Macaca mulatta: one gene and its partners. The protein of the gene in region 6 purifies or fractionates together with the protein of the main gene of each other region. This does not show direct contact. Links are inferred from orthologs where the notes say so. Each region holds a gene or a part of one and is shown on either strand. Other genes may lie near its edges.

Region 1 (2,618 bases), on a different chromosome or scaffold from region 6:
CTTTCAATGTCTGCCTAGAAGGAAATGAGTAATGATCTCTCAGAGTCCCACAGGTTACCCTTACTGTCTACAACTTACTCTTCTGTACGCCTAACACCATCGCACCAAACCAGGGCCTACTTTATTTTCCTAGCAGTAGCTCACAGGGGTATGGTGTGTTTGTGTATCTTTTCAGCACCTTCTTTTTCCTTTCAGTTATGCAGGGCAATTCTGCACAGACTTACAAACTGAAGAGTATAAAAGCATGTATCCTCTTACTGTAGTCTTAAAAAGCTCGTGGAATTATTCTAGGGACACAGAAGATTCTGTGGCACAGATTTAAGTAAAGAGCAAAATACTCACTGGAAAAATTAAATACTGGCTAGCTACCACGGAGATTTGACCCTAGCTGGCAAACATGGAACTCTGCAAATACTTGGAGCCATTAATTATGTATACTTGTTTTATTCATAATTTGTCATGTTCTGGGATACCAAAAGTAATAATGGCTGAACTTAACAAAATTTTTAACCTCATCTCAATATCCACTGATCCATCTCATTCAATGGTAATAGTCAATGTTTTCTAAAGGAACATAAAAACAAACATGCACACAATTGCACAGTTTTCATAAAGGTCTATTTCATTATTGGTGGGTAGCGCATTTAACAGTTAAATACATTTAAATAATGTATAGGTGACTGCAGGACTGCAGCATTGGTAACTAGATAACCAATTCAACTAGAAACCAGCTAACAAGGAACTGTCTAAATACTTAAAATACAGCTCTTGTTGAGATCATTCTTTGTTTTGATCATCTTCTTGGGGGAAAAAAAGCCTGCTGCTGGTCACAATGGAAATATATTAAGGCCAAATCTTCTGATATCCATTCCCAAAGGTATCTTTCAGCTGGATTAAGCCTCCAACTCCAGGGCGAGCCCAAGCTTGTGACCTCCAGCATTAATGCTCTTTCCGTCTACCAGAGCAGAGAGTGTAAGCTTCACACCTATTAAGACAAACACAAAAACAAAACACTGTGATGTACCTGGCACTTCACTCAGTCTGAGCCTTCTTTCACAGTCATCCCCAGAAGCCTGCCTGTCACTTCCTCAGCCTGTCAGCTGACCTACTAGTGCTGGCCACCAGAGGGCGCTTGGAAGTATCTGAGACACCAGAAGGACTGGGTTACCATTCTAGGTAAGGCACCAAGTCACAGAGAAATGTTTTAATAACAAGTTCAAAGTGCTCTAGAATATACAATAATGTTGAGTATACTATCCAGATGAAGAGAGACTAGAGACATAATCATAATTAGATCCTAGAAAGGGAAACCTACAATAAAGACACATTTGGGGACGGGGTAAATCTGAATATATATTTGGTATTACATTAATGTTAGTTTTCTTAGATGCGATAATGGTATTGTGCTTATAAAGAAAAATGTCTTACTCTTAGGATACACATGCTAGGAGCTGCCGTGTCTGTATGTCTGCAAAACATACAGTTTTTTAAAAAAAGTATGTGAAGTTTCAGAGACATAAATGCTGTAAATTTTAATAACTGGTCAACATAGGGTAAGGGTATATGATGTTCACTGTACCATTCTTCCAACTTTTCTTTAGGTTTCAAAATCGCCAAAATAAACTTTGGGAAGGAAAATCCCTATTTGGAGGGGGGAAAGTCCCCAGTACTTTAACCAGACTCCAAGATGAGTCATGTGCATTGTGAAGTTGGAGAAATGCTGCTCTAGACACAGCATGCTTCAAAATATTATATAAAGTCAACAAGACTATAGACAGAACCAAAGCAATGAGTGAACTTTTATCAACAAAATAAAAATTACTTTTATTTTAGAGAGAGAGAGAGAGAAAGAAAGAGAAAGGAAGGAAGGAACGGAGGGAGGGAAAGAAAGAAAGGAAAAGAAACAAAAAGAAAGGAAGGAAAGAAAGAGAGTTGTGGCAAAAGGTAAACATGTATTTATTGTACTCTTCTTTCAACTCTTCTGTGTGCTTGAAAGGTCTGAAAAATAAGCTGAAGAATGAAAACTAATTTTTTTAATATCAAAACAATCCTACTTTATCAAGAATACTTACCAGGCCTCAGAGTCTGAGTGTAGCCTACTCCAATTAAGCTAGAGTTGTTGACTTTTGCCTAAAATAAAATTCAAAAACAACTGTAAGAAAAATATTTCAGTAGGGACAAAGCCCCCTACATGTTTCCCCATCATGTAGTCGTGAAGTGTTCAGTTTTATTCACGAGACAATAAAATTCATTATGTATTAAGCCAAACAGAAATCAGGTACTACTTAATTCATATCCATTCAACTCAAAAATCAAATTGTCAGTAGGACACGATACTCCTGATAGCCACTGGAATGTATCCAAAGACCCCAAACTGTCCGTACAGCACAAGAGCCTAAGCACTCTCATAAAAATCATCTTTGTCGATTCTAGTCTAGCACAACAAAACCAGACCAAATGTGGTACAAATCAGGCTCACTAGAGGTGACACACAGCAGCCTTAAAGTGCAGGGTATCAAGTTTAAATTCATGACTTAGTTACACACATGTAAACTTTCCTACTTTCAGGACTCTTCCTAAAGAACCAAAACCATCAATGTTAAAAAAAAAAAAAAAAT
Region 2 (4,088 bases), on a different chromosome or scaffold from region 6:
ATATTCTCAAGAAACTTGAATATACTCTCCTTACAAGTCTAAATTCTCTTTCCCACCTCCAAATGTCTAATAACTTCCCTACGTAGTAAGTATTAATCACTTTCAACTGGCTGAAGAAACAAACCAAATAGTCTATTAGTAGAGTCTAACACAGATGTGGAAGTGTTAAACTTACTACATAGGTCTTTTATAAACAAATGATAAATTTTCCTATCACAAGAATTATAGCACTCTGAACTAACCAATTCACAACACTGTTCAGTGGAATTCCTAAGGACATACCTCTGACACACACGCCCCCAAAAAATCTGAAAACACTATCCCTGAGAATCTTTCCATCACCCTTCATCCTAAAAATTTGTTATCATAAGTCTCTGAAATAAAAATCTAGAATACTCTTTTCTTAAAAGTCCCTTAAGTTAGAATTTGAATTCTGGAAAGGTCTAAACCTTCACTTTACTAGTGAGCACACGGTATCCTATTACTTAAGCAAGTTGCCTAATTTCATCTAAGATACTGAAATCTTTAAGATACTAAAGAAATTATTTCAACGCTAGAAAAATGGTTTATAATATTTTCTGACAATGTGTTACTGTTTATTATTAATCCCACTAACAATTCATTTAGTCAACAAATAATTACTGAGCTCCGTCCCCATGTGTCAGGCTCTAGGGAAGTGACAGTGAAGAAACAGGCCTGGTCCCTTTCATCTTAGAAGAGACAAAATTTTAAAAACACAATTGGGTAAGTGCTTCAATAGTATGAGAACAGAATATATAATCGAAGGATTACAGGTGTGTTTTGTTGCTTGATTTTGTTGTTTGGGTTTTTTCTTTTTCAATTTTGGTGGGAGATGAGGAAAGGGAATTGGGCAGTAGAGTGTTCAACTAAGGCTTTTTTGTACTAGGTGAGCTTTGTGGGGAATTGATAAAATGATAAAGTTTAATGGGGGCAAGAGTGAGGCAAGGAGGGAAGAACACTCCCAGTGGAAGGACTAGCATGTGCCAGCTTTAAGAAGCAGCATAGCAATTTTGGGCATTCAACAAAGGCCAGCATAGGCAGCTCACAGAGAGAGAGGGAGAATGGCTCGAAATAAAGGTGGAGACACGGACAACGTCCAGATCACAGAGGAGGGACATAATCATATTAGTACTAGCTAATAATAACACCTCCTTTTATATAGTACTTAACAGTTTACGAAACACTTAAAAATGTTTCTCTTTTATTCCTACAAATTTGTGTAGTAATTATTTATTCCAAATCAATTACATCAATCCTCTTTAGAATGACCACAGGGTAAGGTCCAAGTTACTCAGTTAAATCACCTTGTCTGTTGGTAGCATACAGCTACTCGCCCCTCAGGATTTTACAAATGCTACTATCATCTAGGAAAGCTATAATGAACATACCTTCATAATAGCACTTTCTAAAAATTATGTAATATTTAAAACAGTTTTTTAAAAGCATTAAAAATAACAGCCATTTATCTACCATCCAGCTTACGGAAGATACCCTGACACAAGCCTTTCAAAACTGTGTTTATAGGTTTGTTTTCTCCATTAGATTGTGAATTCCTTGGAAGTATGGACTGTGTGTTGATAGATCCAAGATTTTGCACTAAGAAATCAACACTGTTGTTTAATATAATGGAATCCCTCAATTCAGGTATAAATACTGAGATTCACAACGTGCTAGAGGCCGCAAAGCCAACAAATCATTTAATTCAGTTCAAGTATAAAGGAATTTTGCTTTATTTGTAACGGATTTACAACTTTATAATACCTGATACATTTATTCACGATAAAACAGAAAATGTAACTTTCACGTTTTCAGGTCATTATTAAAACATCCCAAGAAGGCATTCGTTGAACAAACTAGCTACTGAAGTCTCCTGTATTATGCTAAATGCTGGAAATATGAATTCCAATTACACAAATTCCACGCCTTAATGAAACTCAAGTTTCTTAAGCACACAGAATTGATCCAAGGTTTGGCTGTTCCCAGATTCAAAGAATATATCCCACTCTAGATCAACTAAGGATAGGGAAAAGTGACCATCACACGTAAGCACGTACGTAGACCAGAGTTAATCAGTTATTTTTCCCTTCAGAAAAAAATCTACTAGTAGGGAGTAAGAAGTTGTGTTGTGTGTGTAAACGTGTTTTGAGATGGAGAGGGACAGAGACTAGACTAAAAGGAAAAGAAACTGGAAATCCAGGTTTAAGGAGAAAACCAAATGTAGAGTGGCATATGAGAATCACATTTGTTCACGCAACTTCTACACAGCTTTTCTGCAAAGAGCTGTAATCCTCACATAGCACTTAGTAAAGGGCCTTAGAGGCCCTGTGTTTCTTGGCTCCAAAGAAGCTTCAGTAACCACCTATTCCGCCTCTTCCGCACCGCCCAGCAACCACGCTTAGAGTGTGACAACCCTAGCCTCAAGTCCCTCCCGCCCGCCTCATAAATAAAAGCGGCCCTGGGCCGCTGGACTGGCGCGGAGGAGGGCAGGTCAACGGATGAGCAGACACCGTGGGAAACGCCGCGGAGTACGCGCCCGGGCCAAGGAAGGGGTCAGCCTCAGCCTCCACCTCAGCTTGGCCCGTCCACTGAGGGCTCTGGTACCAAAAAGAGACCGGCGAATCCAGCTCTCCGAAGGCAGCGGGTACTCCCGAACGGCTTCCCAGCGCTTTTAGTCTTTCCGCACCCGTCCCCACCCGAAGTTACCTTCCCAAGTGACATCGTAAAGCTCTGAGACCTTCGCCATCTTCCCAGAACCTAGAAGCAGCGGGGTGAGAGGGCGGGGAGACGCAGTCACGTGACGCTCCACCGGGCGGTGGAGAGTTACGTTGCTTTTTCTCATTGGCCAAGAGAGCTGTGGGGGCGGTATCTGCCACACACGTGCACGCGGCTCTGCGGAGGGGCTTTCGGGGAAGGGGGCGGAACAAGATGGGCGGAGCGAACTGGACAGTGGGCGGAGCGAGGTGGGCGGTGCGCGGTGCTCCCGGAATCTGAGAATACTCTGGCTGCTGGCAGGGCGACGGTGCTGGCTCGGCTTGAGGGGTAGGGGTATGTGTGTGTGAGTGTTTTGTTGTGTGTGTATGTGCGTGTGTGTTTTGTTTTTGTTTGTGTTTTTTGCCGTGGATTTTTAACAAATGCTGGGTTTTTAGTGTCCGCCAATCCAGGCTTTTCAGTTTTTTTCTACGTAGGCGTGTTCATTCTCTTCACACTCCTTTAAGTACCCTTATTCTCTTCTTGGCCGGCCGCAGTGTAGCCTTCTGCACGAATTCCTTATTTGTCCCCAACTTTCCTCCTTCCCTAATGGGATTTGCTTTCTGTTCACTTTTTAATCGACTAAACGGATAAACTCCAAAGTTTTGAGGGAGTAAGTGGGATTCTTCCTTTGAGCTTTGAAGTTCCCTTGAATGCCCTCGTGCTCGCTTGTACCCTTCTTTAACGCTCCTCGTGCCTGTAATTGCTTCATCCATGTCTGCATGCCACACTAGGTTTGAAACTGTCGCGAGTATGTAAGAATGAGACCTTCACAGTTCCTGAACTTCTCTCCTCATTACTCCTGGGTGTATGGGGCAGCCTCCTTTCCCACCAGACTAATTGCTTTTAGGAAACTTTGAACGTCATCTCCTAGACTTAAGGAGAAGTGTTTGGACAGGAGGCAAAAAATTTGAGGATGATAAGCATATATTTAGTATTTGAAGCAAGGGGGACATGAGATTGTAGAGGAGGAATATGTAAGCTGAGGAAAAACTAAAAATCACTGCAATGCAGCCATGAGTTATGGGTCAATGAAGAAGGGGCATTTGATTTGAGAAGTAGAAATAATCGTATCCCACAAGTCAAAAGAGTGGAGGGGTTTTTTTCTCAGCTTTTTTGAGGTATAATGGACAGAAATTGTGCATATTTAAGGTATACAAAGTAATGATTAGATGTAAATGTACATTGTGAAATGATTACCACAAGCAAGCTAATTAACACATCCGTCACCGTACATATTTCCCGTACGTGTGTGTGTGGTGAGAACACTTAAAAATCTCTCAGCAAACTTCAAAGTGTACAATACAGAATTATCACTA
Region 3 (3,956 bases), on a different chromosome or scaffold from region 6:
ACTTCTCCCAGGCTGGATCAAGGCAAATAAATGCAATCCTTCCCATCCCCCACCACCATGGCCACATTTGCTGTGTTTCAACAATAGACAGAAAGAAGACCCAGGGAAAGAGCAAGGAATGAGGAGAGCAGAGGGACCAAACCTCTGCCCTGGCTCTGTGGCAGCTCCCTTGTCTAGCCCAGGTCCTGGTCAGTTCCCACAGCCAAGGATCTGGCCCCACCCTTTGGTACAGTTCCCATTAGGTCAATTCCCAGGCCAGAAGTCTGGCTTTCCCCTCTTTCTCTGCAGTGAAGAATTCCTCCGTCTCTGCTTCCTGGTCTGTCTGCCTCACCCTGCTGCGCTGCTGGTGGGCTGTGTCCCAGGGATCCTGTCTAGGGGATATCTGGGGAAGGCGTCTTTCCAGGCTCAGAGTTGGAGAGTTGTACAGACTCTACGGGTGGGTGGCCCAGCTGGAGTTGGGCTTAGAGGCAGAGGGAGAAAACAGGAACTAGCCTCTAAGGCTGGAAAAGTCTTTGTCCATACAGAATTGGGATCACACTCCTGGTGCTACGACATTTCCATGCTGTTGGCCATTACCCAGGAGGGCTATAGCAGGGTCAGAAAGACGTTAGGGAAAAGTGGCTGACGCAGGACGGAAGTGGGGTGTGAGGCATCTCTAAGGGCGCTTCCTGGGTCTATGATTCTGTAGGTTCGGGAAGCCTGGCGGATGTCAGGGTCACCCAGAGGACTCCATTCCCCCATGTGGGATGAGGTGGCTCCTACACACCCCGATACTCCCCTCCGCGCCACCAATGCCGGTGGCCTTGGCAATCCGATTCTTTTTTGTTTTGGTTTGGCGGGAGCTCTCAGACCCGCCCAGCCCCACTTAGGCTCCTTTCTCCAATCTCAATTTAGGACATCTGGAAATTAGCTGGCTTTCCCGACTCCGATCTTTTGGATTCAGTGATGGGAAGGTAATTGGCAAAGCCTGGGGCTACCCTATAAGGGCAGGGCTCAGATACAATCCGAGAGCAGGACTAAAGCGGGAGGCCGGCCAAGGCGGAAGGGAGTAGGGAAAGAAGCGCCGCACGTTTCCGAGATGCGCAAGCGGGCTCGGCGAGAGAGCACGAAGTATTTGCCCCTCGCAGGAACGGCAATTTTCCCTTGCTCGCTCCTAGAAAAGCCAGCCAGGAGCTGTGGGAGGAACCGCCCTCAGTAAAGATGATGGCTGTCACCGTTATCTAAACGCAAGTGAAGCCGAGTCACAGGACCCGGATGTTGTCAGGTCGACGGTAAACGACCCTGCCAGCTTCCAAAAGGGCGGCTTCACTGTGCGAATAGGTGAGAAGCCAACAAGGAGGCGCGCTGGAGTCACTTCCGCCCGGTTCACCTTCCCGCAGTCTGCAGCCGGAGTAAGATGGCGGCGCTGAGGGCTGTTTGCGGCCTCCGGGGCGTCGCGGCCCAGGTCTTGCGGCCTGGGGCTGGAGTCCGACTGCCGATTCAGCCCAGCAGGTGAGATCGAGGGTAGCCCTCGACACACGTTCTCCAAGGGTTTCTCAGGTTGGGGACGCTTTACTCCCCCAGAAAAGAATAACCCAAGACTGTGACCCCATTGTCCATCCCTGACTTCTTGGGCTACAAGATGCGGTGGCGCCCACTCTGGCGAGGGAGGGGAGAGGGTCTAGAGTTCGTTCAGTCCAGAGGTGAAATCAGCGGAGTGGGAGACCCTGCTTTTTAGCTTCCGTAATTTGAATGCACCTCTCCTGTACCTGAGTAAAACTCAGCCAGAGCCAGAATGCGCGCTGTCTCTGTCGTTGACCTTGAATAAACACTTTTCTCACGTTCATGTTCACCTGGTTGATAATATCAATATGATGAAAATATAAAGAAGCTAGGATTCCAACCTTGCATGCCCAGGGGTGATGGGTGAAGTTATTCCAGGAATAATTTGTTAGTAGGAATTGAACCTTTAGAGTTCCAGCTTATTTTGCCGAAGCTACATTAACTTCAGATCAGTGACTTGGCATTTAAAAAATCCAGGACACTGGCCGGGCGCGGTGGCTCACGCCAGTAATCCCAGCACTTTGGGAGGCCTAGGCGGGCAGATCATCTGAGGTCGGGAGTTCGAGACCATCCTGACCAACATGGAGAAACCCCATCTCTACTAAAAATACAAAATTAGCCGGGCTTGGTGGCACATGCCTGTAATCTCAGCTACTTGAGAGGCTGAGGCAGGAGAATCGCCTCCTGAGGCAGGAGAATCGCTTGAACTCGAGAGGCGGAGGTTTCAGTGAGCTGAAATCGCGCCATTGCACTCCAGTCTGGGCAACAAGAGCGAAACTCCGTCTCAAAAACAAAACAAAACAAAAAAACAGGACATCCTTCCTGGGTCCCCTTGAGAGTAAATGGGAACACAGGAACCACACACTGTTCAGGCCCTTTGTCTAGGATTTGTCTTTAACTCCCCAGAGGTGTTCGGCAGTGGCAGCCAGATGTGGAATGGGCACAGCAGTTTGGGGGAGCTGTTATGTACCCAAGCAAAGAAACAGCCCACTGGAAGCCTCCACCTTGGAATGGTGAGTGATCAGAGTTGCTGTCCCAACCCACACCCATCCCTGACCCCAGCTGATTTCCTTTTCTTTTTGTGAGACAGGGTCTCCCTCTGTCTCCCTGGCTGGAGTGCAGTGGTGGGAAAGTGGCTCACTGTAGTCTTGAACTTCTGGGCTCAAGGCAACCTTCTGTCTCAGCCTCCCCAGAAAGCCGCAGCAACAGGCCTGTGCCACCACAACTGGCTAATTTTGAAAGTTTTCCTTTTGTAGAGACAGGGTCTTGCTGTGTTGACCAGGCTGGTTTCAAACTCCTGGCCTCAGGTAATCCTCCCAACTCAGCCTCCCAAAGTGCTGAGATACAGGCTTGAGCCACCATGCCTGGCCTCCAGCTGATTTCTAAGTGCTCTTGAACTCTCTGTCTTAGGCAAGTTTTAGCCCCTATCCTGTTTGTTTCTTTTTTTTTTTTTTTTTTTTTTTTTTTTTGAGACGGAGTCTCGCTCTGCCGCCCAGGCTGGAGTGCAGTGGCCGGATCTCAGCTCACTGCAAGCTCCGCCTCCCGGGTTCACGCCATTCTCCTGCCTCAGCCTCCCAAGTAGCTGGGACTACAGGCGCCCGCCACCGTGCCCGGCTAGTTTTTTGTATTTTTTAGTAGAGACGGGGTTTCACCGTGTTAGCCAGGATGGTCTCGATCTCCTGACCTCGTGATCCGCCCGTCTCGGCCTCCCAAAGTGCTGGGATTACAGGCTTGAGCCACCGCACCCAGCCCTGTTTGTTTCTTTCACGATGAAATTCAAGAGACATAATAGTGATAATAACAGGTATTTGTGAAGTAGAGAAGGAAAGGAAGGATGTTGCAGAAGAAAATAAAGAATGGGTCCCAGTAAATACCCAAAAGTCCTTATCAATGTAAATCTTAATGCCAGCTTTTCCCATGTTCAATACACGTAAGGTTCACTACATTATCTCCCTCTCCAGACAAGGTGGTGGTTTTCCCATTGGTACCCAAATGAAACCTATGTGAATACAAACCATTTTTTTCCTTTCAAAACTAGCTCTTCCTTTTGACTTTTGATTTTGATCATTGGGACCCTCATTCCCCTAATCCCTCAGGATTGAAACTTTTTAGTCATCTTTGGCTGTTTTATCTTGCCCTCCATATCTATGTCCAGTAAGTTACCAAACTATGTAGATTCTTTCATAATGTCTCATATCTGTTCATCTCTCCTTCTTAATTTTCGTTGCCATCATTCTTATTCAGAGTTATCTTGTATTAGACCCTGATTATTTTAGGAGTCTATTTACTGAGTTTTTGCCACTGATGTTGTCCCCTTTCTATATATCCTATACAATGTCATCACCTTCATCTTCCCCAAACATTATTTTACCATGTTATTCATACTCTTGCTCAAAAACCTTCAGACACTTGCA
Region 4 (3,982 bases), on a different chromosome or scaffold from region 6:
ATTCAGACACGGAATTTGTGATTACACTCTCTGCTCCTGTTCTGAACCTGAGGGAGTCCACTTAAGCGAACAAGTAGGTTTTTGAGGACATGTGTGGCAAATGCTTACCCAGTGAAGGGATTAAGGGGCTCAGTAAGCACTTGTCCATTGGCGCAATGGCTGCCAATCTAATTCTACTGATTCCTCTAAATGTTTCTGGAGTTCAGAAATCTATTCGATCCAAGGGCACTTTACCTGGGGTCCTGGAAGCCAAATGTCAACGTAGTTCTTAACCTTCCTAAGCCTCTTAACCTTCTGGGTACAACCTCTATATTTACCTTCTGGCTAAAATCATTTCCCCACCCCCAGCCCAGTCCTTTGGACTCTCCCAAGCCAATTCCTGGCAAGGTCTTTGTTGAACTGTATTTGCAAACCAGGGTCTGGGGCACGGTGGCAGTTCCTTCGTCTGTTGTTCCCTTAATTTCGTCTGGTTTCACTGGCTCCAGGACAGTGCCCGGCCTAGGGTGGGAAGAGTGAGGCACTCACCTTGGTGAAACACAACTCAGTAATTAAGACAAATGATTTTTAATGCACTATTTAAAAAAAAATCAAAAGCAATGCAAAAATTCATGATGAACAAATGATCAGCATTTGAAATACAGACAGGATCCCAACCTGCACTTGCATGACTTTGTCTCGCTTGCCTCACCCTGAATTCAGCCTTGACACTTCAATTAAACTTTATTTACAAAACAAGGGGGCCGGCCAGCAGGATGTTTGCCCATACGACTTTTTTAAAGTATCGTTTATCTCGATGACTGAAGGGTTCTTTTGGCATCCCTGTAACAAATGCGTCTCACCCTAGTTCTGCTCCAAGGGTTTTTGTCCAGGCACACCGTGACCTCACCGTTCCTACCCACTCCGAGGCCTCTGTCAGGGTTCAGCGTTCAAGTCCCGGGTGTCCTCTGGACCCGCCCCTTCCTCCTGCCGGGTCAGGTGCCGAGGGCGAGCCCGGGCGGCGCGGAGAGCGGTCCCGGCCAGCCCTCCACGACTCCTCCCCCTGCGCGCTGGGCCACTCAGCTGCTCTGCCGCCCAGCGCGCCGGGGCCCAGACCCCGCCCCGGCCCCGCCTCCGACGCCTGCCGCTCCGGCGCCGGCTCCCCCTATATAAATCGGCCATTTGCTTCGCTCCGCCCCGCAGCGCCGGAGTCAAAGCCGGTTCCCGGCCCAGTCCCGTCCCGCAGCAGCCTGCCGCCTCTTTCCTTTCAACATGACAGATGCCGCTGTGTCCTTCGCCAAGGACTTCCTGGCAGGTGGAGTGGCCGCAGCCATCTCCAAGACGGCGGTAGCGCCTATCGAGCGGGTCAAGCTGCTGCTGCAGGTACGTCCTGGGATCCAGGAGCCCAACCAGGAAGTGGGGGGGAGGGTCGCACAGAAGGCGGGCGCCCGAGGGGTGGCGGGGAGCGAACTCCAAAGACATGGCCAGGGAAGCGGCTAGGAGAGGCCAGAGCCGGGCGCAGAGGCAGAGCAGAAGGCAAACTGGTGGGAGGCGCCTTTAGTGACCTGAAGTTGTGAGTCTAGAAAGGGGCCAGGGGCGGAGAGCAGGACCAGGCTCTCGGCATCCCCGAGGCGGCCGACTCGGATGGAGCAGTCCCTGAGTGACGGCCTCCCCGGGCCTGGGCGTCAAGGGCGAAGGCCGAAAGCCGGCGTTAGAAAGAGGAACGCCAGTTCTTAACGAAGACCTCAAGGTCGCGGCAAGGAGATAACTGCCCGGGGAAGGCCATGCGCCCGGGTCCGGCGGCCTCCCAGCCCGCGGACGCGCTCAAACCTCGCCGGGCCGGAAGCCGGCGCCGGGAAGCGCGTGTTCCTTTTACGTCCGCCTCCGCGCAGCCGCGGCCGCCGTGTCCCCTCCGCCTGCCTCCCTGCGCCGCGCGCTCTCCAGTGCTGGCTCTAGAGGGCGCCCCTGGGCGAGCGTGTAGGGGTGCCGGCGGCGGCGCTCGGGTCACCTCTGGAAGCGGAGTGGGGGCGGAGCGAGACGGAAGCAGCTCAGGAGACCGGAGGCGTAGGCTGCGGTCCCCAAGGTGACCGCGCCCTATGTGGGACTCGCCCTAATGCCTCTGAACCTGGGTTTGAGGTAATGACCTTTATCTCAGGTTTAAAGGTCACGAGTCCGCTGGAGGATGCCCCCTCCCCACTCAGAGGGGTGGAGGCTTAATACCTCTGGTGCCGATCACCTCTTCCCCTGTGACAGCCTCATATGGTTGGGAGGCTCCAGCCAGTATGATATACGAAGACTAGATTTGGGAGAGGGGAGCCAGCCTTAAAGGGTATTGATCCATATGGCATATGCCCTTCTCTTTCCCTTCCGCATGGTTATAACTGTCCCTGTTGGCTTCTTCCTGTCTGTTAGGTGCAGCATGCCAGCAAGCAGATCACTGCAGATAAGCAATACAAAGGCATTATAGACTGCGTGGTCCGTATTCCCAAGGAGCAGGGAGTTCTGTCCTTCTGGCGCGGTAACCTGGCCAATGTCATCAGATACTTCCCCACCCAGGCTCTTAACTTCGCCTTCAAAGATAAATACAAGCAGATCTTCCTAGGTGGTGTGGACAAGAGGACCCAGTTTTGGCGCTACTTTGCAGGGAATCTGGCATCAGGTGGTGCCGCAGGGGCCACATCCCTGTGTTTTGTGTACCCTCTTGATTTTGCCCGTACCCGTCTAGCAGCTGATGTGGGTAAAGCTGGAGCTGAAAGGGAATTCCGAGGCCTCGGTGACTGCCTGGTTAAGATCTACAAATCTGATGGGATTAAGGGCCTGTACCAAGGCTTTAACGTGTCTGTGCAGGGTATTATCATCTACCGAGCCGCCTACTTCGGTATCTATGACACTGCAAAGGGTAAGTTTGCTGTGGGCTTTAAAGTTGTGTTCTTAGGAGACAATTTAAAAGAGCGTTGTACCAACCTAACATTCCAAGAGCTAGAGAGTTTTTTTAATTGCTGAAGGAAGCCAAGATCATCCAGTGCGACCCTCATGCACAGATGACATGTTTAGGGGATGTGGGGAAAGGAAGTCAGTAAAACTCTACTTTTTGGTAAAAGCATCTCTTTCCTATTCCCAGGAATGCTTCCGGATCCCAAAAACACTCACATCGTCATCAGCTGGATGATCGCACAGACTGTCACTGCTGTTGCTGGGTTGACTTCCTATCCATTTGATACTGTTCGCCGCCGCATGATGATGCAGTCAGGGCGCAAAGGAAGTAAGTTCCCCTTGAGCAGAAGATAAAATTGTAGGCGTGGGGCAAGCTGCGGCCACAAACTAGTGATGCCCACCTTTAGAAATGGCTGGCTGTCCAAGTCAAGGGATGGGGTTGATAGCATCTGTGTCTATTCCACAGCTGCCTTTGATCCGGCCCTTCAGATGCCTATGAATGAGGGTGCTTAACTGGTATTAGAGATTAAGACCAGTGGGTAGTCTGTGTATTCCTGTGGTCACAGCATTAATATTTCAGTGTTGCCCATGCTAATGTGTGAATGTTGGGTTTAAAGCTGATGTTCTTAGAGGTAGGGCTCTGCTTTATTTAGCCTAGTGAATCTTAGGATTTTTCATCGGCCTTCAGTCACCAACTCTGTCTTTATTCTTTGCAGCTGACATCATGTACACAGGCACGCTTGACTGCTGGAGGAAGATAGCTCGTGATGAAGGAGGCAAAGCTTTTTTCAAGGGTGCATGGTCCAATGTTCTCAGGGGCATGGGTGGTGCTTTTGTGCTTGTCTTGTATGATGAAATCAAGAAGTACACATAAGTTATTTCCTAGGATTTTTCCCCCTGTGAACAGGCATGTTGTATTATATAACATATCTTGAACATTCTTGACAGACTCCTGGCTGTCAGTTTCTCAGTGGCAACTATTTACTGGTTGAAAATGGGAAGCAATAATATTCATCTGACCAGTTTTCTCTTAAAGCCATTTCCATGATGATGATGGGACTCAATTGTATTT
Region 5 (4,061 bases), on a different chromosome or scaffold from region 6:
ACCTGAGGTCTCAGCCGGTAAGAGGTAAACCACCATGTGAGCCTAACAATCTAACTCTATAATCCATGCCCTTGACCACTATTCTAGATTGCCAATTCCTCCTTCAAAACATAATTCGTTGTTTTTTTTTTTTCTTGTTTTGAAATAGGGTTTCACTCTGTCATCCAGGCTGGGGTGCAGTGGTGAAATCATGGCTGACTGCAGCCTCAAACTCCTGGGCTCAAGGGATCCTCCCACCTCAGCCTCCTAAGTAGATGTGCTTACAGGCGTGCCACAGCGACTGGATAATTTTTTTTTAAATTTTTTTGTAGAGACAGTGTCTTGTTTTGCTGCCCAGGCTCCTCTCAAACTCCTGGCCTCAAGCGATCTTCCCACCTTAGCCTCCCAAAGTGCTGGCATTACAGGCGTGAGCCAACATGCCTGGTCAACTTTTTTGTTTGTTTTTTTAAAGACTGGGGTCTTGCTTTGTTGCCCAGGCTGGCCTCCAACTCCCAAGCTCAAGCAATCCTCCTGCCTCAGCCTCCTGAGTAGCATGGACTACAGGTACATGCCGTCATGCCCAGCTCGAAACATGATTAACCTTTGATTATTTCAACAATGAATGTTGTATGCTGTTCCTAGTGACACTTTCCCTTCCAGCTACATTACTTAGGCCAGAGATAAGGCAACAGAAATAAGATCTCAACTCTCAAATTAGGAATGGAATCTGTCACTGGAAGTGCAGTTGGACTGAGCCCTGATTCCATCTCCAGGCAAGATGCTCAGCATCAGACTGCACGGCAGTGGTTCTACCCTTGCTGGTTAATTTATAGAGTTCAATTGTCTATGTTAATGAAACCCTTTGTGGGTAAGGATAATCAAGAACAGACTGTATCTTGTATGGATCTGACTTATAAGAGAATTTTTTTATAGTTCCATTACTTAAAATATATAAAATAATGAGTTAAAAAATGAAAGAAACAGTCCTCTTTTTTCCAAGCAGTGGTCAGAACGTCAATATTCCTGGTTACCCTACATTAGAGTATGCTTCTAAAGCTGTGTGCATAACATGGAATTCTTTAGAGTAGCCATTACTGCATTTTCCAAAGGGAAATTTGCAAGAATTGGATACATCAGAATTTAATCAGAAACTAAAGTCATGTCTTTTCCCAGAACATGCCCCAGACGTGGTTTTTAATTTTTTTGTTGTTGTTGTTGTTTTGGTTTTTTAACAAATATGGTTTTTAACTGACCTATAAGACAGTCCATTTAAATATATAAATTTTTAATAGCCTTCCACGGGCCATTTCCTAAATCCCACTTCAATCTTTTCTGCCGTTAATTCTGTTAGTGTCTGCCGAGTGGAAAGAAATGGGTGAGGGTGAAAGGATTTGGTGATGGGCAAGAATAGGGGAGAAAATAGTGAAAAACAGAAACAAGTCCCATTCCCCCTGCAATGAACTTGTAATCTCAAAGTAGAACCAGTGCTGACAATAATAATGACAATTACACTCTTTCAGTCATAGCTATTTAACCATAAAGTAGTACAATCAAGAAAAGTAAGATGATGCAATACAATAAATACTTCCCTTCAAGTTCTAGTGCATTCGCATGGACTTGCTTAAATTTAGATTCCATTTAATAAGGGAAAACGAAAATTTCCATTTGAGCACAGAACCACTAATTTTGTGCCAAAAACAAAGGCAAAAAGACGGGACACCAGGATCGTTGCTGGTTCAAAGTCAAAAGGCAAAATGGAAGTAATAATGAGACAAGCTGAGGCCGACTAACACGCAAGAAGAGTTCATCCAACAGAAAAAAAAAAGTTTAGAAACTTTCAAGCACTTCTGGTAAACGTCTCACGAAAGTTCTGCCCATGTATCAGTTCCTCTAAAGAGTTACATTCCATCAATCACTACAGATGGCTTTGAGTCCCCAAGGCCTCGATGCATTATTGTTCTAAGGAGAAGCCGCAAGGCTCCTGAGCCGAGTATCCTGCAGGCAATGGACACTCAGGACCCTGTGCTTCTTGTCCAAGGCTTTCTGGTTGGCCTCTCCCACGAATGGAGTTCAGATGCAGTGCACGCCCAGAAGAAAATACTTCCCAACTGTTGCATCGCGTGAGACCAAAACTGAAAGTCAGACGACCACCGGAGTACTCCAGTTCTCAACCGGTGAAGAACTCTCCCACAGACACCATTTTTGTATTTTTATTTTTCATTTTTTTGCGTCTGATGGACGCTCGCAACGACCCTCTGCCTCTGAGCCTCACAAGAGGGAACTGCACCTGTCACTTCGTTCAGGACCCTAGACCCACCCGCCCGACACGTGTCAAGTTAAAGCCAAGACCCCTCGCCCGCAACCCCAAAATCCTGTCACCATTCTGCAGACGCTCCGCGGTGGCGGGGGGCAGGGAGGGCGTCTCCTCACGCCGGGACTCGGCCCCCGGCGAGGACGCGTCCCGCCGAGCAGCCTTGGCGCCAGCCCTACGCACACGGGGCGCCCTTCCCGCGTGAGGCGGCGGCGGCTCTGCTCGCTCACCTGACCAGAGGCAGGTCCTCCGGACCGCTGTCCTGCTCTGGGTCCTCCTCAGGAGGGGGTGGCGGCGGCGGTGCCGGGGGTTCCGCGGCAGCGGCGGCGGCGGCGGCGGCCGTTTTTCGGGGGGTTTTGGGCGGCATGACGCCTTACCGAGGCGGGAGCCAGCGAGCTGTGGAGGAGAGCCGGGGAGGGCGCAGCGCGCGCACGTCGGGGCACGCCCCGTCCTCTCCTGACTCCCGTTACAAAAATAATTTCAACGTCCCCTGAGAAAAACCGGACGCGCAGTCCCCCGCCCGGCAACTGAGCGCCGCGTCCAACCGCGGGAAAACGTCACTTCCGCCCGCGGCGTCACGTCCGCGAGGCTCCCGGGCCCGCCGGCGTTTGTGGGGAACTGGGGCGCTGGTCGGTGCGCGGGCTGGGACGCTAGATGGGAAGGGATAAACTGGGAAACCTGGCGTGGGTCCAGGAGCCTTCCCAGAAGCATCCGGCGCAGCCCGGACGTGTTTCTACCCGGAACCACCCCCTCCAAGCCGAGCTGCCCTTAACTGGGCTATACAAAGAGTCTGGCGGGTGACTGTGGGCCGTATCCCTATCCCGGGGTCTGATAGGGAAGACGCTCGGGCCCCGCAGGTAGTATCTGGCTAGTGCACCCTCGGCGGGCGCGCCGCTCTCCTTCTCTGGGCGGCGCCCGCCCTCTCATCCCGCTTAATCCGTTTTGCAAACTCGGCCAAAACAAAAAGAAACTTGGAGCGCTAGTAGATGCTGAACTTTACCAGTCACTAGAAGATACAAAATGTTAGACAGTTGCTGGCCTTTTGGGGGATCACTGGTTAGGGAAAGGAAGGGAGGGAGCTGTGGGGAATGAACGGATAGTAGTGTAATAAAAGATGATAGTGGTGTAAAAACGGCAAGCACCGTGGAAAAGTCTAAGGAAGATTTTCAGGGGAGCAGTAGCTGTTGAATAGAAGTTTGTCAGGCAGGCCTGACATTTACTGTGTACCAGGAACTGTGCTGGCCACCTTACATAATTATCTTATTTAATCCCCAGGAAGAGCCTTTTTTTTTTTTTTTTTTTTAACTTTAAGTTCCAGGATACAGATGCAGAACGTGTAGGTTTGTTACATAGACATACGTATGCCATGGAGGTTTGCTGCACCTATCAACCCGTCATCTAGGTGTTAAGCCCCGCATGCATGTAGCTAAGAAACAGCCCTTTCAAATGGGTAGTATTAGCTAGTCTAGCTTGCAGATGAGGAAACAGGCTCAGAGGAGGTAATTAATTTGTCCAATACCAGGGCAGATGGGTAGCAGAGGATTTGAACTCAACTCTGTTTGATTCCACTTGTCCATTACATTATGTTGATGAAGAAAACAGTGACAGAGAAGGAGCATGTGCAAAGGCACAAAGACATCAGAAAAGAGCTTGCTGGGACTACCACCATCAAACATTGGCTTAAAGCTGTATCACTTCTATGTCTTGGTATTTATATCAATAGATTATCTAGTTTGAGTACGTGTTTTCTTCTCTTTGGCAGACACTGTTA
Region 6 (3,500 bases):
AAAGTGCTTCCTGTTCAGTTCTCCCGTGCATCGCTAGGGAAAGGCACCGCTTCCCCCAGCATCTGTGCAGCTGTTTAAACAGCCACTGGACAACAGCCAGTGTTAACCCCGGGGCACTGCTCCACCTTGCTCCGCCTGCTGGAACCCCCGGGGGCTTGGGGCTCCCTCTGCTGGCAAGAGGCCAGGCTGCAGCCGTTCTGCAGGCCCTCCCCTGGTAATTACCGTGAACCTGAACACCTTGGCTGTGAGAAAACGCTGCGTAAAAACCTAAGGGAAAAGTTGGCATTTTACTAGACTTTAACCACATACTCCATTCTGGGGAAATGTGGGCTGACCACAGGAAACCCTGTCTAAGAGGTGTGAGAAGAAAATTAGGTTTCATGGGGAATTCGCTGCCCTCAGCTGGCCCTTTTAGAAATAAATTTTATTCCTTAATTATACATTTCATTTTTCATTTCTCAGGATCAGATTTTCTTACCCAAACTTTGACTGAGAGACTAGAAATGGATCAGGCGAAGTACGACAGCTGCAGTTAGAGTTCGGAGCTTAAACATTCTGGGAGAGAATGAGACCAGGATTTACTCGTCAGGAGCAGTTCGGGGCTGCTTTTTTAAAAGCAGAGGCTGGGAGAGCGGAGGAAGTGAAACAACTAGAATCTGATGGCAAAACCAATGCTCTCCTCTTGATTCTTTTTCAGTAAAAAGTAGGATGAATAAGTAAATTGCTCTAGGCTGGGCATTAGGAATGCTGAGGTCCCTTCCCATTGTTTGTGCTATGGTTAGGAACAGTCACGTCAGACCTGACATGATTAGGGAAGGTCTATGGATCATCAGACTTCTAAACCCTCAGCCCGACCAATGACTTTACCTGCTTTCTCTTTCTTTTAAACCCTTTAACAGAACCATTCACATTGGGAATAGCATGATTTGCGTTCTACCACCCCTCGTCCTCTTCCTGTTCAGTGGTGGAGCTGCTGTGGGAAGAAGTGGACTGGTTAATCCATAAGCAGAGAGCATCAGGCTCTTGGATCCTTGGGAACCAGCAGCCTCCCTCACTCTCAGGGGCCCCGTTTTGCATCTGGCCTTCCTTGGGCTTTGAACAAGGCATCAAAGGCGCTTGGAAGAGCACTAGTCAGTGGCGGGGGTCTTAGAACCCACAGTTCTCCTCTGGGGAGGTGGTCGATTGAATAGATACCTTCTGGTGCCCATGGGCCCCATCAAAAGCCCCAGGCGCCATTTGCTACATGAGGTCACTCGCTGCACTGAGAGTGACAGAGTAGTGTACAGGAGCAGTTGGGCAGCCAGAGATGCTGGGTGTAAACTCAGTTTGGATACAGATACAGAGATGGAAGAGTGTTCTGGCCTCACAGATGCCTCCAGCTGCTAGAGCCATTGCTGGCCTCTTCCTTCCAGCGGCCGTGGAGGCGTCCCAGCAGTGCTGTCTAAGCAATCACACTGCCTCATCTTGTGCTCACTCTCTCCCCTTAGACACATCTGACCTTCGGGAAGGAGTTCACAGAAGCGGTGGAAGCCAAACAGGTGGCTCAGCAGGAAGCAGAGAGGGCCAGATTTGTGGTGGAAAAGGTGAGCATTCAACCAGATGGCAGGAGCCTCTCTCCCCTTTCTCCTGCACTTAGCTTCCCCATTTGCTGGGTGGCCTGGAAATTCATCATCTGTCATCCCTTCTTCCGGGATAATCGGAAGGGGCTTGAAGGAATTGTACTTCTGCAATTGGTTCCAGAGTCTTCGGGGGCTAGTCAAGGATATGTGGAGTTATGTTCCAAAATCACCGAAGGGTAATTTTTCTTCCACTTCTCTGAGATCAAAAACACTCTCTTACAAATGAAAATGTTTCTCCTGGAGTATTTTCAGCTTCACTGAGAAGTCATTTTTAACCATACTTACATAGTGAAAGCTGACAGCAAAAAAGATCAAACGTTGCACCAGATGTGCTTTCGTCACTGGATTTTTTTCTAGTGCTAAATCCATCCAGATGTGTCAAAGAATGCGATGGGACGCAGTGTATTTGCGTAGCAGCCTGTTCTTTCTGGTATTTGCAAAGACATGTTTATTGTTGTCCCCCTCTTCCCACCACCAGTATCCCTAATTGGTGGGGAGATGGGGGCAGCAAGAAATAAAATGGGAAAAGAGGAATAGATTTAATTTTGGAGAATGAAAACACTGTGTGGGCAGGGACTTGCGTTGCTTTGTATCTTCCATAACTTCAGAGATTATAACAAGTCTAGTATAGTGCCTGGCGATAGTAGGTATACAGTAAATGTTTGTTAAGCAAATAGACGCAGGGCCCAGCCATTTCAAAATTGTATGTAATTTCAGGGAGGCTTAATACTGTCCTCTTCCTCACACTCCTGAAGGTCACACATTTCAGAGAACTGTCTTCCTCTTAATATTGGTAGGGCAGGCCTAGGAGGTCTCACTGTGGGTGCCTGGATTCTGGTCAGGAATCAGCCTAGCCCACAGGCAGCTCTAGGAACAGTCACAAGTGCATGCTGCTCTTCCTTAGCCATCCTGAGGTTTTTTGTTCGTGACAGCGGCTCCCTCTGTGGCCCAGGCTGGAATGCAATGGCATGATCATAGCTCACTGCAGCCTTGACCTCCTGGCTCAAGTGATCCTCCTGCCTCCGCCTCCCAAAGTGCCAGGATTACAGGCATGAGCCACCACACCTGGCCCTGTCCTGGCTTTGATGAAGTCCTTTAGACTTGGGGCTGGAAGGAAAGATGAGCCTTGAGGGTTGATTCCATTTTTCTTTTGCTTCTGTTTTCCTTGGCCTTGGATCCTCCTGGCTCAGAGTAGAGTTGTTAAGCTAGATTGCAATTAATATTAATGAGGACTTTGAAATAAGACAAATATTCATGCAACCAACAGAAATGTATCTCTCCCGTGACGAGTGAGCATGAAAGGGAAGGGGAGGACTGGTGGGCTGTGTGCTCTGCCTCCCCCCACCATCAGGAGGAGGTAAACTCCCCAAGTTCCTACAGGAGCCTGGGAAGGTGGCTTTCTGGTGAAGGGCCTTTGGTTGTAGCCTGACATGCGGTGCCCTGAGGTTTGGTCTTAGTCTGTCTCCACCTCCATTCTTTTAGGCTGAGCAGCAAAAAAAGGCAGCCATCATCTCTGCTGAGGGTGACTCCAAGGCGGCTGAGCTGATTGCCAACTCACTGGCCACTGCAGGGGATGGCCTGATCGAGCTGCGCAAGCTGGAAGCCGCGGAGGACATCGCATACCAGCTCTCACGTTCTCGGAACATCACCTACCTGCCAGCGGGGCAGTCTGTGCTCCTCCAGCTGCCCCAGTGAGGGCCCACCCTGCCTGCACCTCCGCGGGCTGACTGGGCCACAGCCCCGATGATTCTTAACACCGCCTTCCTTCTATCCCCACCCCAGAAATCACTGTGAAATTTCATGATTGGCTTAAAGTGAAGGAAATAAAGGTAAAATCACTTCAGATCTCTAATTAGTCTATCAAATGAAACTTTCATTCTT
Region 7 (4,203 bases), on a different chromosome or scaffold from region 6:
GTGACTCTCAGAATACCAGCACAGGTATCTACCAAAAAAAGGTATCTCAAGAACTTCCATATTTGCAGGACTGAGTGGAGATGTTTCATTCTTAGATTCCATCTCTACAAAGAATGAAGGGATGTCTAGGGCCAAGGCATTCTGAAGACCTTTATGGTATCTAAGTGTTGATGACGGTGGTGGGGTCTCAGTTCGGTCCCTGGCACAGGTGCTCTGTGCTGGGTCCTCAGAGAGCTCTAACCTGAGCCACCATGCTGGTGACATCGCCGGGATTGGAGGGCAGTAGGATAGTGTTGGAGTCCTTGGCCAGTTTGGAGAACGCGCTGACATACTGCTCGGCCACAGTCAGTGAAGCTGCTGCATCTCCATTCTGTGACCACAGGGGGATAAAAATCAGAGATTATAGATACGGAGAAGAAGGGGTGGATGGGGAATGAAGAAAGCAGTTCACAATAAAAAGGACTATGTAATCTGGTTCAACAGAGCCCACAGAGGCAGGAACTCTCCTTAAGCATAGATAAGAGAACCCCTTCCACTGTCAATTCCTGTCCCCCATTCCCACCCAGGGGCCTCTCACATGTTGTGTCAGAGCTGCAGCCAGGATTCGAATAGCTTCAGCTTTAGCCTTGGCCTTGGCTAGAACTGCACTGGCCTCTCCTGCAAGAGAAGGGACAGAGCTTGCTTGACCCATGAAGTCAAAGTACCCAAAGATTCTGCCCCAGCACCAATCTTCAAAGGCCCATGCCTTGCTCCTCCCTCAGCCTCTACCCTCTCCTGACCTGCTGCCTGATTTATCTGTTCAGCCTTTTCTGCTTCGGAGGCCAGGATCTGGGCCTGTTTCTTCCCCTCTGCCACATTGATGGCCGACTCTCGGGTCCCCTCAGACTCTAGAACTGTGGCCCGTTTCCGCCGCTCTGCCTCCACCTGGAAGCCCGCAACAATCCCAATCAACAAGCCAAGGGAAAGTTATACAGACCTGCAACTCTACCCATCATAACAGGAGGGAAGTCTGGATCCTCCTGGGACTGGAGCACCCTGAGGTCCTTTTCCTACCCCTCCTTGGCTCCCACCTGCATCTGCATAGACTCTTTCACCCGGGGTGGCACATGGATATCCTTGATCTCATAACGGAGGCAGCGGATACCCCAGCAGTCAGCAGCTTGGTTGATAGCATCCACAATGCTGGCATTCAGGGACTCCCGTTCCTGGAAAAAGAGAGGCATAAGCCCCACAGCTTCAACTTACCTATCAAGGGCCTACACTGAGAAGGGCCTGGGACTGATCTTGACCTTCAGAAAAGATTGAGTGTCAGGTTTGTGTCTTCAAACCCTAACTCTGGCTCAGATCTGCTTACCCGGAAGACTTTGTCCAGAGAGAGTTTGCCGAGCTCTGATCTCATGGTTGTTTGAGCTAGCTGGGTGACGGCATACTCAGGGTCCTCCACACCATAGCTTGCCTGAAACGGACACGGATAGTGTAAGAAGCTTGGGCACAAGATTTTAGTGAAGAGGGCAACTGAAAAGGCTAGATAAAGTAGGGGGCAGATACCTTGTAAGGGTCCATGATGCGCAGGTAAAGGACTCCATCAATTTGCAGAGTTACATTGTCTGTAGAACCAGGAGAGAAAAGGAGGAAAGTCAGGCCTCTAGGTCCCAACCAGTTCTCTCTCCTAAGCTGTGGATCTACAGCAACCACATCCTAATAGCCTCAGAGCACCCATGTCACCCTGAACCCCTCACCGAGAGTCACAGCCGACTGCTCAGGCACGTTGATGACAATTTCCTTGAGACTCTGCACATATCGGATCCGGTCTAACACAGGGATGAGGATGTTCAAACCCTGGGAAGAGGAGTCATGGGTCCTCAGAAGGATGGGAACTATTGGGTTGAGACCTAAGCTAGTCCTGGAGTATGTATGGAGTCAACACATGGAACATGCCCAGAAAAGCAGCAGCTGCTACCAAGAAATAAGTCCTCATAAGGCTGAAGTGTCACTGGTAAGAAAACCCAAGAGAATAGGAATGCAAGACTAGGCCCCTGAATGGAAGGGAGAGTCATGAGAATCGGAGCTGGCAGAATAGCCATCTCAATGCAGACTGAGAGGTAGGGCTGAGAGAGTGGGCAGAGGAGATTCCCAAGAATGGGGACTGTGAGATGCATAGGAAAAGGTGGTAACATGGGGATGATGGTCAGCAGCCTCAGCCCTGTCAGGTCTGGCCTACAGAGTCGGGAGCTAACAGTGCGGGCAGGCCCAAAAGAGGTCCTCCCGACACTCCATGTCGTGAGGGATTGGTCATCTGGCTGGCCCAGGATGGGCAGAAGAGGTTCTCACAGGCTCCAGGATCCGGTGGAATCGGCCCATTCGCTCCACCACCCAGGCCTCCTGCTGCGGCACGAACAGTACCACGGTGTTTCGGGGCAATCCAGAGGAGGCGCGGCGCGGAGCGCGACCAGAAGCCTGCAGGGAGCCCTGAAAGAAAGAAGAGGGTGAGCAGAGATCCCATCTGGCCAAACACGCCGCCCCTCGGTCCTGAAGGTATCTCCATAAACCACGACCCTCAGGATCCTCGGAGAGAGAATCACATGGGGACCATGACCTCTGACCCCAGTCCTCTCCGAAAGTTGGAAGTTCGCTCTTTCCCAGCGGAGGACCCAGGTGATCTCTGTCCCGACCCTCTGGATAGGTTGCCTCGCTCTCACCCTCAGCAAAAGGGCCCCAGTGCCCCGCGCCGCGCGCGCCAGCATTTCCCACCGCCGCAGCGACCTCCGGAACCAACGAGACGAGCGGAGCGGTAGCTCCCAGAAGCCTACCCGAGCCTTTCCTCTTGCAGTTCCGCTCCCCCGAATGTACTTCCGGCCGTTCCCTACTCCCTTCAACACTCACCCAATCAGCGTTACTTGGTCGAACGGCGCATCAAGTTGTTCCCTGGGAAACGCAGACCTTCAAGAGAAGGCCGAAGGCTGCCGTTGTTCTGGGTTTAGCTGTTCGCGACCAAGATCCCCGGCCTGATGGCCAAATTATTTTTCGCGTGCATATCACTCAGACACCACGCACTGAATTCTTCACCCTCACCCGAGACTCAGTTTGCCCACCAGAGCGTAGAATCGCGCCCATCCGTCACCATAGCGACGAGTGGATTGAGCTGACTCGTTGCCATGGTTGCCATAGTGACATTCTATAGTAGTCCCGCGGTGTTGTGCCCAGGACTCCCACTGGGGACTGACCCCAATCCCGTTGCCATGGAAACTGGGCCTAACATTGCCTGGCGATTGGGACGAGATTTTCCCCTCCCCTCTTTCCTCAAAGACACTACAGCTCCTTCCCTCTCTTTCCAAGCAAGGTTTGTTATGCCCGGTCTTAAATACCGAGTCCGGCAAACAGCCTCAACGTTCAACCTTGTCTGGAGCACGTCACCTTGCACACATCCCTGATGTTCTGGTAGTCAAGAGACCTCCGTAGTCACCTCCATTTTACATATGAGGGCACTGAAGTTCTGAAGGGCTAAAGTCATTAACAGAACCAGTATCAGAATCCTGATCTACAATTCAGAATTCAGCTTCTAGGACTCAACTTTACCCACCAACCCCTCTGAAAGGAGCAAGACCAGGCCCCAGGAATCAGCAGGGACTAGCCTAAGACCTCATGGGCCCAGGCCTGTTGCCTCCTCTCTGGTAGAAAGGGCTGAGTCCCAGCTCCAGGAAGGCCCTCTATCCCCCTTCGCACCCTCTCCCCAACAACAACAACAACAAAAGTAGAGCTTAGTTCAAGTTTCCAAACAAGAATTTATTCTTTCTTTTTTAATCTTTTTTTTTTCTAAAAAAAAGTACCAGGTACAATTTTTTCCTGTTTCTGATTTGCTTTGTTTTTTCAAGTTTCAGCAAATGCTTGTTCCCCTCAGCCCAGCCTCAGGAGTCAGGACTGAGGCTGGGTCAGAGTCTGGAGTGGGGAATGGGGTAGTTTGGAACCACATGACTGAGTTTGAGGGGTGCCCCTCACCCCAGCTGAGGTAGGTGGGTCAGAGTCTGGCCAGGTGAGTGGAGGCACCCCAGTGCTTGGCCCTGACTCTGCCCCCTGGACACCTTCTTCAGTCAGGACCCCAAAGCAAGGAGACACAGGCAGGAGGAGAGGGACAACTGGAGTCTGGAGCCCTAGGTGAGGGGTGGTTAACCCCTGTGTGTGTGCATACATGTACACTCTCTCACA

The links.
Region 1: the proteins of PHB1 (region 6) and VDAC2 purify together in Homo sapiens (affinity purification with mass spectrometry; 4 studies listed by BioGRID, with this or other methods). This does not show direct contact. The link is inferred for Macaca mulatta from reciprocal best matches to the Homo sapiens genes PHB1 and VDAC2.
Region 2: the proteins of PHB1 (region 6) and EMC2 purify together in Homo sapiens (affinity purification with mass spectrometry; 3 studies listed by BioGRID and IntAct, with this or other methods). This does not show direct contact. The link is inferred for Macaca mulatta from reciprocal best matches to the Homo sapiens genes PHB1 and EMC2.
Region 3: the proteins of PHB1 (region 6) and NDUFS2 purify together in Homo sapiens (affinity purification with mass spectrometry; 3 studies listed by BioGRID and IntAct, with this or other methods). This does not show direct contact. The link is inferred for Macaca mulatta from reciprocal best matches to the Homo sapiens genes PHB1 and NDUFS2.
Region 4: the proteins of PHB1 (region 6) and SLC25A5 purify together in Homo sapiens (affinity purification with mass spectrometry; 3 studies listed by BioGRID and IntAct, with this or other methods). This does not show direct contact. The link is inferred for Macaca mulatta from reciprocal best matches to the Homo sapiens genes PHB1 and SLC25A5.
Region 5: the proteins of PHB1 (region 6) and RB1 purify together in Homo sapiens (affinity purification with western blotting; 3 studies listed by BioGRID). This does not show direct contact. The link is inferred for Macaca mulatta from reciprocal best matches to the Homo sapiens genes PHB1 and RB1.
Region 7: the proteins of PHB1 (region 6) and STOML2 purify together in Homo sapiens (affinity purification with western blotting; 3 studies listed by BioGRID, with this or other methods). This does not show direct contact. The link is inferred for Macaca mulatta from reciprocal best matches to the Homo sapiens genes PHB1 and STOML2.

The regions. Positions count from the first base shown.
Region 1 is NC_133414.1:74,375,339-74,377,956, forward strand, and holds the end of VDAC2 (non-selective voltage-gated ion channel VDAC2), read right to left. Parts: intron 2,269-2,618; exon of another isoform or gene 2,131-2,268; coding exon 2,073-2,130; exon of another isoform or gene 1,105-2,072; coding exon of another isoform or gene 1,060-1,104; intron 986-1,059; coding exon 894-985; 3' UTR 501-893; downstream 1-500. UniProt on the Homo sapiens protein: Non-selective voltage-gated ion channel that mediates the transport of anions and cations through the mitochondrion outer membrane and plasma membrane.
Region 2 is NC_133413.1:118,698,778-118,702,865, reverse strand, and holds the start of EMC2 (ER membrane protein complex subunit 2), read right to left. Parts: upstream 2,801-4,088; 5' UTR 2,765-2,800; coding exon 2,725-2,764; intron 1-2,724. UniProt on the Homo sapiens protein: Part of the endoplasmic reticulum membrane protein complex (EMC) that enables the energy-independent insertion into endoplasmic reticulum membranes of newly synthesized membrane proteins.
Region 3 is NC_133406.1:105,680,624-105,684,579, reverse strand, and holds the start of NDUFS2 (NADH dehydrogenase [ubiquinone] iron-sulfur protein 2, mitochondrial), read left to right. Parts: upstream 1-1,156; 5' UTR 1,157-1,396; coding exon 1,397-1,491; intron 1,492-2,448; coding exon 2,449-2,555; intron 2,556-3,956. UniProt on the Homo sapiens protein: Core subunit of the mitochondrial membrane respiratory chain NADH dehydrogenase (Complex I) which catalyzes electron transfer from NADH through the respiratory chain, using ubiquinone as an electron acceptor. Essential for the catalytic activity of complex I.
Region 4 is NC_133426.1:125,937,805-125,941,786, forward strand, and holds the start of SLC25A5 (ADP/ATP translocase 2), read left to right. Parts: upstream 1-1,182; 5' UTR 1,183-1,248; coding exon 1,249-1,359; intron 1,360-2,388; coding exon 2,389-2,875; intron 2,876-3,097; coding exon 3,098-3,238; intron 3,239-3,626; coding exon 3,627-3,784; 3' UTR 3,785-3,982.
Region 5 is NC_133422.1:27,492,411-27,496,471, reverse strand, and holds the start of RB1 (retinoblastoma-associated protein), read right to left. Parts: upstream 2,801-4,061; 5' UTR 2,658-2,800; coding exon 2,521-2,657; intron 1-2,520. UniProt on the Homo sapiens protein: Tumor suppressor that is a key regulator of the G1/S transition of the cell cycle. The hypophosphorylated form binds transcription regulators of the E2F family, preventing transcription of E2F-responsive genes.
Region 6 is NC_133421.1:60,600,427-60,603,926, forward strand, and holds part of PHB1 (prohibitin 1), read left to right. Parts: intron 1-1,487; coding exon 1,488-1,583; intron 1,584-3,101; coding exon 3,102-3,314; 3' UTR 3,315-3,500.
Region 7 is NC_133420.1:64,622,061-64,626,263, reverse strand, and holds the start of STOML2 (stomatin-like protein 2, mitochondrial), read right to left. Parts: upstream 2,801-4,203; 5' UTR 2,745-2,800; coding exon 2,700-2,744; intron 2,470-2,699; coding exon 2,332-2,469; intron 1,840-2,331; coding exon 1,740-1,839; intron 1,608-1,739; coding exon 1,549-1,607; intron 1,457-1,548; coding exon 1,355-1,456; intron 1,206-1,354; coding exon 1,071-1,205; intron 925-1,070; coding exon 780-924; intron 658-779; coding exon 578-657; intron 371-577; coding exon 242-370; intron 1-241. UniProt on the Homo sapiens protein: Mitochondrial protein that probably regulates the biogenesis and the activity of mitochondria.